Linked DNA regions of Coturnix japonica. The protein of the gene in region 1 purifies or fractionates together with the protein of each later gene. This does not show direct contact. Links are inferred from orthologs where the notes say so. Each region holds a gene or a part of one and is shown on either strand. Other genes may lie near its edges.

Region 1 (6,692 bases):
CCGTGCTGTGCGGTACCGTGCGGTGCCGTGAGTCCCGCTGAGCGCCTCCTCCCGTAGCTCCCGTGTCGGCCGCGGCGCCGCCCGAAGGAGCGATGTCCAACGGCGTTTACGTGCCGCCCGGCGCCGCCAACGGGGAGGTGAAGCCGGTGGTGTCGGGGACGCCGCTCGTGGATTTCCTGCTGCAGCTGGAGGATTACACGCCCACGGTACGAGCGGCGCGGGGCGGGCGCTGAGGGCGGGCACCGGCACCGGGCACCGAGTGCTGAGCACCGGGCGCTGAGCGCGGCTCTCCCTGCAGATCCCGGACGCCGTCACCGGGTATTACCTGAACAGAGCGGGATTCGAGGCCTCCGACCCGCGCATGTGAGTGTAAAGGGCGGCCGGGGGGGGGGGGTGCGGAACGACCCCCGGTGCCGTATCCCCGCCCACCCGCCCGTTGTTGTGCCCGCAGCATCCGGCTGATCTCGTTGGCCGCACAGAAATTCATCTCTGACATCGCCAACGACGCGCTGCAGCACTGCAAGATGAAGGGAACGGCCTCGGGGAGCTCCCGCAACAAGAGCAAGGTGGGTGTGATGGGGGGCACTGCCAGGCATTGACCTGGGTCACAGAGTCACAGCGTGGCCTGGGTTGCACAGAACCACAGTGCTCATCCATCCCAACCCCCTGCTGTGTGCAGGGTCACCAACCAGCAGCCCAGGCTGCCCAGAGCCACATCCAGCCTGGCCTTGAATGCCTGCAGGGATGGGGCATCCACAGCCTCCTTGGGCAACCTGTGCCAGTGCGTCACCACCCTCTGGGGGAAAAACTTCCTCCTCAGATCCAACCTAAACCTCCCCTGTCTCACTTTCAAACCATTCCCCCTTGTCCTATCACTGCCCACCCTCACAAACAGCCGTTCCCCCTCCTGTTTATTCGCTCCCTTCAAGTACTGGATGCCCACAATGAGGTCTCCCCGCAGCCTTCTCTTCTCCAACCCAAACCAGCCCAGTTCCCTCATCCTTTCCTCATATCAGAGCTGCTCCAGCCCCTCTGCTCATCTCAGTGGCCTCCTCTGGACCCTCCAAGAGCTCCATGTCCTTCCTGTGCTGGAGGCCCCAGGCCTGGACTCAGCACTGAGATATGAGCTCACAAGAGCTGAGTAGAAGAGGACAATCCCCTCCCTGTCCCTGCTGGCCGCCCCTTTAAATGCAGCCCAGCACACAGTTGCCTTCCAGGCTGCAGGCACACACTGCTGCCTCATATCCAGCTTCTCACCCCCCAAGTCCTCTGCAGGGCTGCTCTCAAGGAGACTTTCCCCCAGTCTGTACACACACCTGGTGTTGCCCCAACCCAATGCATCACCCTGCACTTGTCCTTATTGAACCTCATGGGAGGCTGATGTGTGCTGACTAAATGGGAGGGAGCGTGGTGGGCAGGAGGTGGGCAGTGCTGTGTATGGAGATACTGCAGGGCCACCCAGCCCTGATGGCACCAAACTAACGCTGAGGGAAAAAGATAAAGGGAGGAAGCGTGTAGAAATAGCTTCTGGAATCCACACAGCCCCAATTGTGGCTTAGGGGCAGTGCAATAGATGCGCTGAGTAATGCTCAGTGCGTTTCTCTGCTGTGGAGGGCAAAGAGCAGATGCAGCTTTCAGGCACTTGGTGCTGGTTAATGCCCAGCCACTGGGCATCACACACACATGGACTGCTCCAATGAGGGTCAAAACCCCAACCAAGGGCTGAAGGCACGAGGTGTCTGTGCTGTGTTTGTGTGCTATGAGTGCTGTGTCTGTGCTGTGTTTGTGCTACAAGTGATGTATCTGTGCTGTGTCTGTGTGCTATGAGTGATGTATCTATCTGTGCTGTGTCTGTGCTGTGAGTGATGCTGCCCTTTGTCCCCAGGACAAGAAATACACTCTGACCATGGAGGACCTGACGCCCGCCCTGGCGGAATACGGCATCAATGTGAAGAAGCCGCACTACTTCACGTGAAAGCAGGGCTCGTTGCTGGGGACTTTTCTAGGGTTTGCTTCTGCTCCATTAAACCAATGGGTAGTTTTTTTTCTGGTGGAAAGACCCCCCGTTTCCTGCCGCCCTCCTGCTGTCAGTGCAGCAGCAGCATTTGGCCCACGGAGTTCTGCTCTGCCAGCACCAACAGAAGGTGATGGCTGAGGGCTGCACAGCAGGGAACTGCAGCTGCATCTCCTGGAGGGCTCAGCCTGCCCTGAGCTGCTGCAGGGCTGTGGGCATCGTGCAAACAGAAGCGCCCAGCTTCCTCTGTGCTTTCTTTCCCTGTAGCATGTCTCGTAAGAGGAAGGTTCTGGGGCTGTGACGGCTGCTGCAGCTGCAGCCAGGCTCCTCTGCCTCGCTCTGGGTTTGGCACAGAGCAGCTCCAGCGCCCAGGGCTCCATGTGCCAAGGGCAGCCCTTCTCCCAGCAGCCTATTGAGGTATCAACGCACCCTTCGGCCCGTGGCCAGTTTTCATAACAAATATTTATTTCAGATGCTGGCGGCTTTTCCACGTGGCCTGGATGGAAATGATAAAAAGTGAAGCGCGAAGCTGGGGTGGTGCTGGGCACAAAAAGGCAACTTTCCCCTGCTGTCCTTAGCAGGGAAGAGCACCAGGACTGGACACTGTCAGCATGAGACCAAGTGGGAGAGCTGCCCTGGGCCTGGGAGCATGACGTGGCTTCAGGGCGGCAGAGCCCCACCACGCTCAGTGGCTGCATCCAGGTGTCCTGCTCAGTCTGCCCACAGCTGCCAGGGAGGGTGGAGGTGCTGCCATAGATCGGTGCTACAGAGCCCGAAGCCCACAGAGCGGCTCCAGGGAAGGCAGCATCGCCTGTACCGTGTGTCCATGGCTGGCTCAGGGTGAGGGGGCAGCCCCTGCTCCCCCTTAGCTCTGGGGTTAAAGGCACTTGGAAGTGGTGGGGAAGGGAGCATGGCAGCGGCGGACATCGGGGAGGCACCTCCCTCTACTTGTCCTGCATCTTCTCTAGGATGGGCACGATCATGTCGAACTTGGGGCGCTTGGCTGGGTCCTCGTTCATGCAGATCTTCATCAGCTTGCAGATGTGTGGGGAGATGCCGGGGGGGATGGTTGGACGGAGCCCCTCCAGGGCCACCTGGGAGCGGGCAGAGCAGGGTCAGCCAGCTGGACACAGCCCTGCCTGTGGTGGGCACATGGAGCTCTCCATGCCACTGTGCTCTCCATGGAGCCCTGCCTGTGCTCCCTGCTGACCCAGCTGTGCTCACACTGCTTTGGTCCCCTCCCCCCTCACCTTCATTCCTATCTCCATGTTGGACAAGTCTGCAAATGGCACCTCGCGGGTCACCAGCTCCCATAGCAGCACCGCGAAGCTCCACATGTCCGCCGAGCGCCTGTTAATTTCCTCTGGCTTCTTCTGCAGGGCTGCAGAGAATCCAGTGCAGCACAGGGGCTGAGAAGGGCAGGGAAGGGGGCAAAGCAGCAGGAGGGGCCCGACTGTCTCACACTCACCTTCTGGTGCCACCCATGCGGGCGCATACATCCGCCCGGGGCACTGGAAGGAGAACTTCACGTCGGCCATGCTGATCCTTGCCGTCATGTCCTCGTCGATCTGGGGAGTGAGATGCAGTCAGAGCCACCCACAGCCCAGCCCATGGGCTGCAGGCAGCAGCACTCACCATGATGCTGCGGCTGTTCAGGTGGTGCCGTGGGATGAGGGGCTCCAGCGTGTGCAGGAAGGCCATGCCCCGAGCTATGTCGAAAGCGAATTTCACTGCCTGCATCTGGTCCACCACAAAGTCTGCAGGGAGGGAGGAGGCACTGGGGGTCACTGAGGAATGAGTGTCACGTGTGGGAGGGGACAGGGATGGCAGCACTCGGAGCAGGGACACGCAGGCTGCAAACTGAGCTCCTCGTGGCCACCCTGGAGCTGCAGCTGGAGGAGTCGGTGCTGCTGCCCCCCGTGTACAGAGAAGCAGCCCCCCCCCCCAAGGACAGAGTGACCAGCGCCTGCCTCAGCTGTGTCATCTGTTAGCACTCACTTGTCCCCTCGTGTAACACGTTGTAGAGGGAGCCGTAGGGCATCCAGTGGCTGATGACAATGGGATGGGGGGCCGGGGGGGCCTGGCAGGCACCCAGCACTGGCAGAACATTGGGGTGAGAGAAGATCCTGCAAGAGAAGTGACGGTGCTGAGTTGCTGCTCACAGCCCTGCATCTTCCCTGCCCTCCCCTCTGGTGGCTGCCTTGCCCCCACCAGCCTCTGCTCACCCTGTGGGCTCCCGTCTCAACCCCCCACCCCAGGGATGGTGCCCACCCTCAGGGGCCTTGGCTCCTTTGGGGAGGATGAGGATGCTGCCACTTACCGCAGCTTCGGGTACTCCTCGTTGAAGTCTCGGCTCTTCCGAGTTGTCCAGTCCCGAATCTTCAGCAATTTGACGACGATGTCGTTGCCTTGCCAGCGTCCCTTCCACAGCTGAAGGGAGACAGATGGATACGATCACTGTGATGGGGGGCTCTCAGTCCACCCCTCAGCCCGCTGTGCAGGGCCTGGATCCTGCAGTGAGGCGCAGTGACCGCAATGAGCTGTGAGTTGTCCCAGCCTGCAGCCGGCCCCACAGCGGGGCCTGGACGCCCCCCAAGCAGCCGTACCCCTTCTGTGCTCTGTGTACAGCCAGGGGCTGAGGGAGCACCTGATGTCCCAGCAAGGAAACAGCCTCCATACCTCTCCTGATTGGTTCTCATTGAGTTTCTGGCTCAAGCTCAGCTGTTTGTAGTCTATTCCAGCAAGTTTGTTGAGGGTCCCATTTCCTGTAAGAAGAAAGGATTGCATGGGACTTTCCTCCTGTCTGGGGGCTGCAGGAGGAGCAGCACCAGCATTGTGTGCAAAGGCACTGCACTAAGGGAGCCTCCCTTGCCCCACTGAGCCACGTGCTGTGCCAAGCGCTGCCCCTCAGCCCTGAGTTCCACCCCAGCACACAGATCCGTGCCCCCAGCTCTGCAGGAAGCCTCTGTCCTTACGGGGCCGCGTGCGGGTCGTGCCCTTCCAGAAGGTGTCTTTGTAGGGGATCTTGGTCAGGTTCTGGCCCAGCTTCTCTGCATGCTCTGGAAGCAAATGAAGAGTTGGACAGCGAAGCAGCCCATGGTGCTGAGCTTCAGGGCTGCAGCAGCCAGAGGCAGGGACTGGGTGCAGGTGGGAGCCTCCTACCTTTCAGGATCTCCCGCAGAGGCATCTTGGCTTTGTCAATGGGCGTCTCGCTGTATTTGTTGGCAATGCTGACCAAGGCCCCGTTACCCACGAGGTCCTGAGGAAGAAGAAATTGAGCACCCACAGCTGCTGCTGTTTTCTCAGCCCCTTCCTACACACCCAGCCTCCCCCCTGCCATCCCCTGTGCTCCTGTATCCAGGTGCTGCTCTCACCTCTGCCACCGTGTCGTGTCCCCAGAAGCAGGCGTAGTGCAGAGGGGTGTTCCCGTGCTCATTCACCGCGTTGATGTCCGCTTTGAACTGGATCAGCTGCAGGCAGGACAGTCCTGGTGAGCCCAGAGTGGGTCCCTTCCAGTGCACTGAGGGGGGGGGAATGCACTCACAGCAGGGGCTGCTGATAGGAAGGGGCTGAAGGCTGCGAGGGGATGGTGGGAGCACCCAGAGGTGGGTGCAGTGAGTGCATGGAGGGGGCAGGGAGCAGTGGGGCAGGGAGCAGTGGGGCAGGGAGCAGTGGGGCAGGGCCTGCTGGGCACAGTGAGTCTGACTGTGGCTGTGCAGTGTTTGGGGAGCTGGTACCTTCTGCACGATGTCGCGGTGGCCGTGGCTGGCCGCCAGGTGCAGCGGGGTGTCGTCGCCGCGGTTCATGACGTTGATGCGCGCTCCGCGCATGATCAGCATGTCCACCACGTTGGAGCGGCCCTCGCGACAGGCCCAGTGCAGGGGGCTGAAGCCGTGGTCATCCCTGAGGGGACAGCGGTGAGGATGTGCTGGGAGCACGCAGGGCTGTATCTCAGGGGAGCACTGGGGAATAGCACTGGAGGAGACCCCATACCATCCTGCAGCTCCACGGGCCCCTCAGCTCCTGGCCTGGCTGAGTGAGGCACAGCTCCGAGCCCAAGGGATGCTGCAGCCCCAAGGGCAGGGAGGTGAGTTCTGCTCCCACTGCTCAGCACCCAACAGCAGCAGCCACACAGCCCCAAAGCCACGCTGCACCCTGCCATGCTGTGAGGAGCAGCCCAAGTGCTGCCCCTGCTCTGCCCACCCCCAGGAGGGCCCCGACCACGTTCCATCGTCCTCATGGCTGGAGCAGCAGAGGCTGCTGAGGACCAGGAGCCCCCCCATGCCCCCCCCATCTGCTCGCAGCCGTGCCTGGCCAAGTAAGGGAGGAGGCGGCAGCCGGGCCTTAAAAGGAGATTAGGGCCCAGTAGGCGGGGATGGGGATGGGGATGGGGATGGGGATGGGGATATAGCAGCCCCACTGCCCTCAGCTCCAGCAGAACCGGGGCCATCCAGTGCACTGCCAGCACCGTTCCCGTGGCACACAGCGCTGGGCTGGAGCCGAACACCCCATAACAACCAATAATACCCCATAACAACCAATAATACCCCATAACAAGCAATAATACCCCATAACAACCAATAATACCCCATAACAACCAATAATACCCCATAACAACCAATAACAGCCCATATCAAGCAATAGCAGCCCCGGGGATACAGCCCAGCCCAGCCCAGCT
Region 2 (7,368 bases), on another chromosome or scaffold:
ACTCATAAACAGCCATCCCCCCTCCTGTTGATACACTCCCTTCAAGTACTGGAAGGCCACAATAAGGTCTCCCCAAAGCCCTCTCTTCTCCGACCTAAACAAACTCAGTTCCCTCAACGTTTCTTCATAGAGAAGACCTTCATGAAGAGACAACGATCTCAAGCAATCAGGACCTTCAGTCTGCAGCTCCTCTAGAAAACACATCACAGAGGTAACTTTTATACTAATTACCTCAATGTTTAATATAGAAGCCTCCCTCCTGACAAACGATGCATTTTTAAATAGCAAATCAGAACTCCCAGCTCTAAAAAAGTCATCCGACAGCTGTGATCAAAGGGAAAACATATCACTTCCTTTTATAGAAACCTGCCTCAAGCCTACACTGTATCTGAAAACAAACCACGGCATTTAATGAAGGAGGACAGGAGCCCACCACAAACCCAACCAAAGGACACCAGCTCTGCAGGCTCTCCCTGCCAGCCGTGCACCTACCTGTGCATGCTTGGCTCGCAGCTTGTTCAGTATGTTGGTGGCATCAAAGCCAGCGTTGTCACAGAGCTGGCGGGGAATGATCTCAAGGGCTTTAGCATAAGCACCTATCAGCAGCTGCTGCTTGCCTGGAATGGTCCTGGAATAGTCACGGAGGTATTTGGAGAGCTCCATCTCTATTGCACCGCCACCAGCGACAACAGAGTCGTTCTGGAAGGAAAGAGAACAGGCTGTGCTTACTCTTTGTTGCACAAAAGGGGGAAGAGCAGGAAAACCCCTTTTCCCAAAGGCCTACAGCATGCTGGGGTAATGCACATACATCAGGCCCAGGGGAATCTATACTGCCCAGGCCACCACCACCCCCCTGGGAGCACCTCAGGCAGCCTCTGCCAGCAGCTCCTTCCTGCCACCTGCAAGCCAGGGGGATGGTGTGCAGGGCTGTGCTAGCAAACCTCAGCTACCCTTGTGCAGGACAAGCTCCCCCCCGTTGTGAAACATTCAGAACAGACGAGATTTGCAGCAGCACTCAGCAGCCAAGTTCTGCTAACTATTTTTTTCTCCCTCCCTATCTGCTTCAGTAGAAAGGATCAGGATGTTCTTTCTGAAAGCAAAGCAGCTCCAAAAAATCTTGACATGCTTCTTCCCATCCCCTCAGGGCACTCAGGCTTAAGGGGGAAAAAAAAACCCATCCCCACGCATTACGCACAACCCAGAAATACCCACATGCAGAGAACAGCCATCATGCAGGACCAGCAACTCTGCAAGTACAGTACAGTCACATGGGCCTCAGGCTTCCCTCTTGGTGTCACCTGCCCACCTCCACCTGCCAACACCAGCCCTTCCCAGAAGTCACCAACAGAGGCAACATGCAGCATGAACAGGCACACATGAGACTGAGAAGCTAACAGGCACATTAGATCAGCCCTGCTATTCCCACCCAGCACTCCCAAAAGATCCCAACCCCCTTCTTAGTGAAGGTGTTTATAGAACACACCACAACCCAGCAAGCACAGTTAAGTCACAGCACTTGTAACAGAGGAGACAAAACCAGGCATGCCTGAAAAGCAGCTGGCAATGCAGCTGTGAGAATTCTGCCGTAGCCAAGGAATAGCACTTGAGTTAATCAACTAGACACTGCTTGTCTGCATGCTCCACTCTGCAGGCTGAGAGCATTGGGTTTCTCTCAGAGAGACCTCAGCCAAACGTTGAGGTGTGAAGGCACTGCTGGAAATAGCTGCAGCTGTGCCGGGTGTGATCAACAGCCTCAGTGTCTGCTCAACCCCAGCAGGGAATTGCTTCTGCTGGCCCTTACCTTGATAGCTCTCCTGACTATCATGATGGCATCATGCAGGGACCGTTCTGTCTCTTCCATGAACTGCTCTGCACCTCCACGCAGGATTATCGTGCAAGTCTTTGCCTTTGGGCAGCCCGTGAAGAAGTTATACCTGTCAATGCGTGACACAAGAAAGGGTAAGGAGACTGAAAAGCAGTGCTGCTCCTCAACAGGCTCAGCACCACTGGGACACCACACGGGGACAGAGAAATTATTCCCAACCCAAATGCATGGCTGCAGCTGTCCCACCCCACAGTGACCCCATAAGATCCAAAGCTGAGCAAGTCCATATACAAGACCCCAAAAAGGTGTTGCTTTGGAGTTACGAATGAAAATACCACTAAGCCTTCTACAGGGTTCTTGAGGAATAAAGAAACATAAATGCATCTAAAAGGGGTAAGACCTAAATGAGAGCTCATTCCCCATGCTCATTAAAGGAATTAATCATGCAACCTTTGTTTTCACACCATCACCCAGAGAGATGCTCAAAGCTGCTCACGCTCATACCCCAACTTTCCAAACCAGTATCACCCATGCTCCCACAGGGCTGTGTGTTCCCAGCTGGCACATTTACCTGTCTCCTCCGATCTGAGTCTCCTCAAAGAGCTCACACCGGCCCAGTACATCATCTGACAGGGCATTCACACTGGTCTGAATGGAACCACCACAGGCCTGCAGGGGAAGAAGATAAAGCGTGGCATTACCAGTGCTGACAAATGAGACAAACCTGCCCAGCAGGCTCCCACTTTCTAGTTTCCTCCCATCATATATCTAAGCAGGCTACCAGGAATAGAAATAACCCTCGACAGCAAAAGATGATGATGTTACTAAAAGCTGAGCCACAGGCTCCAGAGTTCAGTAGCTACACAAAGGTGGCTTAAGGAAAACAGGCAAGGAGCAGGGAAAATAAACTTCTACCAACACACAACATACAGACCCTTATACAATTCAGCAGCAGAGGAAAAAAGGCAGCACAGTAGCAATCAGCCTGCAGTTATTTCTTCCACCAAGGAATAGTTTTGTTACTATGTTGCAGTTCTACATCATCATCATTTGGGCAAAAAATACATTAAAAAAAATGAGTGTTATTTTCCTTTTTACATCCTTGTAAGGAACAGTGTGTTCAGCAACTCGTGGCTGTTTTGGTTTGGGAGAGGCCTGACCAGCCTGACAACATTCAAGCTAAATCCAAAGTCTTTATGCCAAAACAAAGCAGCTCACCATCATAGTTCGCTTGAGATCTTCCTCTGGGACACGGCCAGCACAAAACATGTCCCTGTCTGCAAAGTACTGGGTGGCCACATCACCGATGGGCAGCTTGGACAGGACGACTTTGGCTCCAGACTTATGGATTTTGTCTAGTTTGTCATACAGGATGTTCCATTCAGCATCCACGATGGCCTGGTAATCCTAGCAGGCATGAGAAAAACAGGCAATACACATTAATAGGATTTGTAATGGGACTGCAAATGCCACCCCACAGCACCAGCCAAGGGAGAGCTCTGCTAAAGCAAAGGCAGCAGTAATGCTGCTCCACGCAGCCATCCACAGCAGCCAACTGCTTTCTCAAGGAAATTTTAGGTCATTCTATGACAAAGAACTACATCTGTTCAAGTGCTTCCAGCAGCAGAACCAAGGATATAAAGGGGCTGGATGACTTGAGTAAAAGGTAGCAATATTCATACTATTCCCCCAGCATAACACACAAGATAACCTCAGGAGGGAAGATGTGCAGATGGCAATCACAGAGTGCCCAGCTCCTTGACAGCCCAGGAGACAAACAGGAGGGGGACAGGCTCCCATTCCAGCTCTTACCTCCACTGTGTTTACTCGGACTTCAGCGTTGTCCTTTTCAGCTTTGAGCTCCAGCTCCACATTCAGCAAAGCAATCTTGGGAGACTGATACTTCTTGGGCTGCATTTCAAACCCAGCGTAAGAGAATGTCTTCTTAAAGGCAACTCCGGCCACCAGCTGGGAATCCTTGAAGAGAAGGGCTATTTGTCAGGCTCAACATCCCAGGGTTTTCTCAGCAGACTTAATAACTCCCAAAGGAAACCTCCTGCTTGAGAACCCTCCTTTACAAAGCTCCCACCAACAGCTGTCTCCTTTGACTAACCCACTTTTGAAGCAAATAAGCAGCAAATATTTTCTTCTCCCTGTTCACAAAACCAGCTTCTATCATCTCCTTTCTATCCCTCAAGACACCACAGAGAAAGATGCTATTCACAATCTCGAGATCAAGGGATGGAGCAATCTGTTCTCTCTCTGATGTCTTTCCCATTTCTATCCTTTGAAGACGGATACTTCTCATTCACAGCCCTGCACTTCAGGGTTTGTTTTTTTTCCATGTGTGAGTGCCCTGGTTTGCTTTCACAAGCTCTGCAGAAGGACAACACTGCCCAACACTGCCCCCTGAAGTGAAAGAGCAAGAGGCCAAATCTGGATAGGATACAGGGAGGAGAAAGCATCACACACCAGGCTCTCCAACATACTTTGTTGGGTTTTTTTTTTGCAAAGATACAATCACAGAATCCACACAAAATGGCCTGGGTTGAAATGGACCACAATGATCATCCGATTTCAACCCCCTGCTATGGGCAGGGTCACCAACCAGCAGACCAGGCTGCCCAGAGCCACATCCAGCCTGGCCTTGAATGCCTGCAGGAATGGGGCATCCACAGCCTCCTTGGGCAACCTGTTCCAGTGCATCACCACCCTCTGTGTGAAAAACTTCCTCCTAATATCCAACCTAAACCTCCCCCATCTCAGTTTAAAACCATTCCCTCTTGTCCTATTCAGTATCCACCCTCATAAACAGCCATTCTCCCTCCATCTAAATGATGTTTGGATCACTAATTATATCTGCTGTGAAGGCAACGAGGTAGAAGTACTTTGCTTTGGTAGCTCCCCAACAGATGTTGTTATCAGGCTGCATTTATGCCAGGGTCAACTCAAACAAGCTGCAATCACTGCCTCCTACCCAAGGCCCCAGGAGAACTTACTTCCAGAGCACCTCCTTGCACCTTCTTGATTCCAATCATTTTGAGCTGCAGCAAGTCATCCAACATCATGACAGCATCCACAACCATCTTGGAAAAAAACTCCTTGCTCTGGGAGATCAGCTTAGAGCTCAGGGCTGTGGCTGCACACTTCTCCAGCAGGCTCCTCTGCTCGCTGTAATGGGGGAAGAACAAAAAGGTCCGACCTTGAAGTTTTAATGGAGGTGCTAGTTATGGTCTGATCAAGCAGACATAGAGCTTAAAAATTAATAATCATCTCAGTAATGTGATTAGCTTGAACTGCAGCTATTCAACACCTAAATACTGATTTGACTTTCAGGGGAGCACTGAGTGTTTAACACTGCCACTGATTTCAGGAAGAGCCACATCTCCACTATCACTTGAAAAAAGAAATCAGACCACTTATTTCTGTCCTTAGCTTCCCCTATGTGCACATGGAAACACTGGCCTATATCCCTGGCTGCAGTGGAAGCCCAAGGGAGAGCACAGCATCCTTCCCAGAGAGGCAGGAAATTCTGACACCCAACTCCACCACTGGGCAACAACTGCTCATCCCATCCTTGAGATCTCAGCCAGACTGAGAGCAGAAGGCAGAAAAGCACAACCAGGTCAACCTTAAAGGAAACTTACTCTTTATCTTCCTTCTTCACTGACACAGCAATGTCTTTGATCTTGTTTACAGCCTGGCAAAACACAAACCAACAGTTGGATTAATGATTCATGCTTGTCAGCTGATCAGTTCTCCAATTCCTTTTTGTATTTTATGCTTTTTTCCCTCCTTCAACATCACTGCAGTTTCAAGCACTTGAGCTACCCCATCCTTTCCAGTAGGGCAATTTTAAGAGACATGCAGAAGCAGCAGGTAGAGTTCAAGCACATTTACATACAACCTCAGTCACAATCCAAGCACAAATCACTGATTCCGACTGCTGTAACACTTCCCGCTTTAATGATTACATGCTAAATGAATTACAGAATCACAGAATGGCCTGGGCTGAAAAGGCCCACGATAATCATCTGGTTTCAACCCCCTGCTATGGGCAGGGTCATCAACCAGCAGACCAGGCTGCCCAGAGCCACATCCAGCCTGGCCTTGAATGCCTGCAAGGATGGGGCATCCACAGCCTCCTTTGAGCAACCTGTTCCAGTGTGTCACCACCCTCTGGGTGAAAAACTTCCTCCTAAGATCCAACCTAAACCTCCTGTTTATAACCATTCCCCCTTGTCCTATCACTATCCACCCTCATTAACAGCTGTTCCCCCTCCTGTTTACATATTCCCTTCTATTTTCCAAGCTAAACAAGCCCAGTTCCCTCAACTTTTCTTCATAGGAGAGGTGTTCCAGAGTAATTTCCTCCTTCTTACACCATAAAAAAATAACTTTTAACAGACTCTGGTGGGATTTTACTGTGATCCTCATATGTTTAAAAGCCTTCTAACCCAGTGAAAAGGAAAAATGGAATAAAACAGGAAAAAAAAGACCAAGCAGAGCCACCCCATTCTGCACAGTGCTGCCTTACCAACTGTGTGGCTGTGCGGAAGGCACGGATGATGATCTGAGGATGAAGGCCTTCCTCCACGTAGGGCTTCACTTGTTTCAGGAACTCAGCAGCAAGCAGAGTTACGGACGTGGTGCCATCACCAACCTGTATGGACAGAACACTTTAGTCACCTATGTACAGCAGAGGCCTCCAGAGGAAAACAGACTTCCTAACTCTCATTGCTCACAGAACTGTGGCTGATTCCTTCAGTGATTAAGCACAAGCTGGGTTCAGACTGCACTCTGTTTGAAGTTTCCCATCTCCCAGCCACCTCTGTTCATGACATTTTGCATCCATAAAGCCTCCAAACCCTTCTACTAAATCTGGCAGAAAACCCAGCCAAGCGTTTTAAAGTTATCACAAAAAAGATGAAAGCAATGAAGAAACCAGGATAAACAGCAGCACGCCACAACCGAGTTTGACCACTTAACGCAAAGCCAACATGCTGCTGCATCCTGTCCAGGTTACCCTCCTACCTCTGCATCCTGAGATTTAGCAATGTCCACCAACGTCTTCGCAGCCGGATGGACAACATCAAGGAGCTTCAGGATGGTGGCCCCGTCGTTAGAGATGGTGGCTTTGCCTACAAGAAATTCAGAAAAAGAAGCTAAGCCCCAAATAAAGCTCTTACTGCCTTGAAACAACACACATCGAACAGAGCTTTCCCAGTCTTGCTGTAGAGAGGCTGCTGTGCAGTGCTCACCTCTGTCATCCACAATGAGTTTGTCCATGCCCCGTGGTCCCAGGGTGGTGCGTACAGCCTCGGCGATCACCTGGCAGGCATTGATGTTGCTGACGAGCTGAGGAATCCCCTGCGAGGTGTCAGTGCCCTCCTTCAGCAGGATAACCGGTGTTGGCTGAGGAGAGAAACCAGGACAGAGCTGTTAGTCCAATCTCAACACGCAGCCCAGCAAGTTCACACTATTAACAAAGTTCACAAACTAACTGAGCTGAGAATCATAGAACTCACAGCATCATAGAATGG

The links. The genes of interacting proteins can lie anywhere in the genome.
Region 2: the proteins of ILK (region 1) and CCT7 purify together in Homo sapiens (affinity purification with mass spectrometry; 4 studies listed by BioGRID and IntAct, with this or other methods). This does not show direct contact. The link is inferred for Coturnix japonica from reciprocal best matches to the Homo sapiens genes ILK and CCT7.

Annotation. Positions count from the first base shown.
Region 1 is NC_029516.1:173,987,746-173,994,437, forward strand, and holds the end of ILK (integrin-linked protein kinase), read right to left. Parts: intron 5,918-6,692; coding exon 5,752-5,917; intron 5,485-5,751; coding exon 5,389-5,484; intron 5,274-5,388; coding exon 5,177-5,273; intron 5,074-5,176; coding exon 4,990-5,073; intron 4,780-4,989; coding exon 4,694-4,779; intron 4,445-4,693; coding exon 4,335-4,444; intron 4,141-4,334; coding exon 4,013-4,140; intron 3,772-4,012; coding exon 3,650-3,771; intron 3,583-3,649; coding exon 3,483-3,582; intron 3,396-3,482; coding exon 3,265-3,395; intron 3,109-3,264; coding exon 2,959-3,108; 3' UTR 2,459-2,958; downstream 1-2,458. Other genes in the region: TAF10 (transcription initiation factor TFIID subunit 10), read left to right, coding at 58-206, 299-363, 452-566, 1,886-1,975. UniProt on the Homo sapiens protein: Scaffold protein which mediates protein-protein interactions during a range of cellular events including focal adhesion assembly, cell adhesion and cell migration.
Region 2 is NC_029519.1:81,263,801-81,271,168, forward strand, and holds part of CCT7 (T-complex protein 1 subunit eta), read right to left. Parts: intron 7,241-7,368; coding exon 6,860-7,240; intron 6,489-6,859; coding exon 6,363-6,488; intron 5,526-6,362; coding exon 5,473-5,525; intron 4,997-5,472; coding exon 4,825-4,996; intron 3,803-4,824; coding exon 3,638-3,802; intron 3,233-3,637; coding exon 3,044-3,232; intron 2,495-3,043; coding exon 2,397-2,494; intron 1,935-2,396; coding exon 1,802-1,934; intron 700-1,801; coding exon 493-699; intron 1-492. UniProt on the Homo sapiens protein: Component of the chaperonin-containing T-complex (TRiC), a molecular chaperone complex that assists the folding of actin, tubulin and other proteins upon ATP hydrolysis.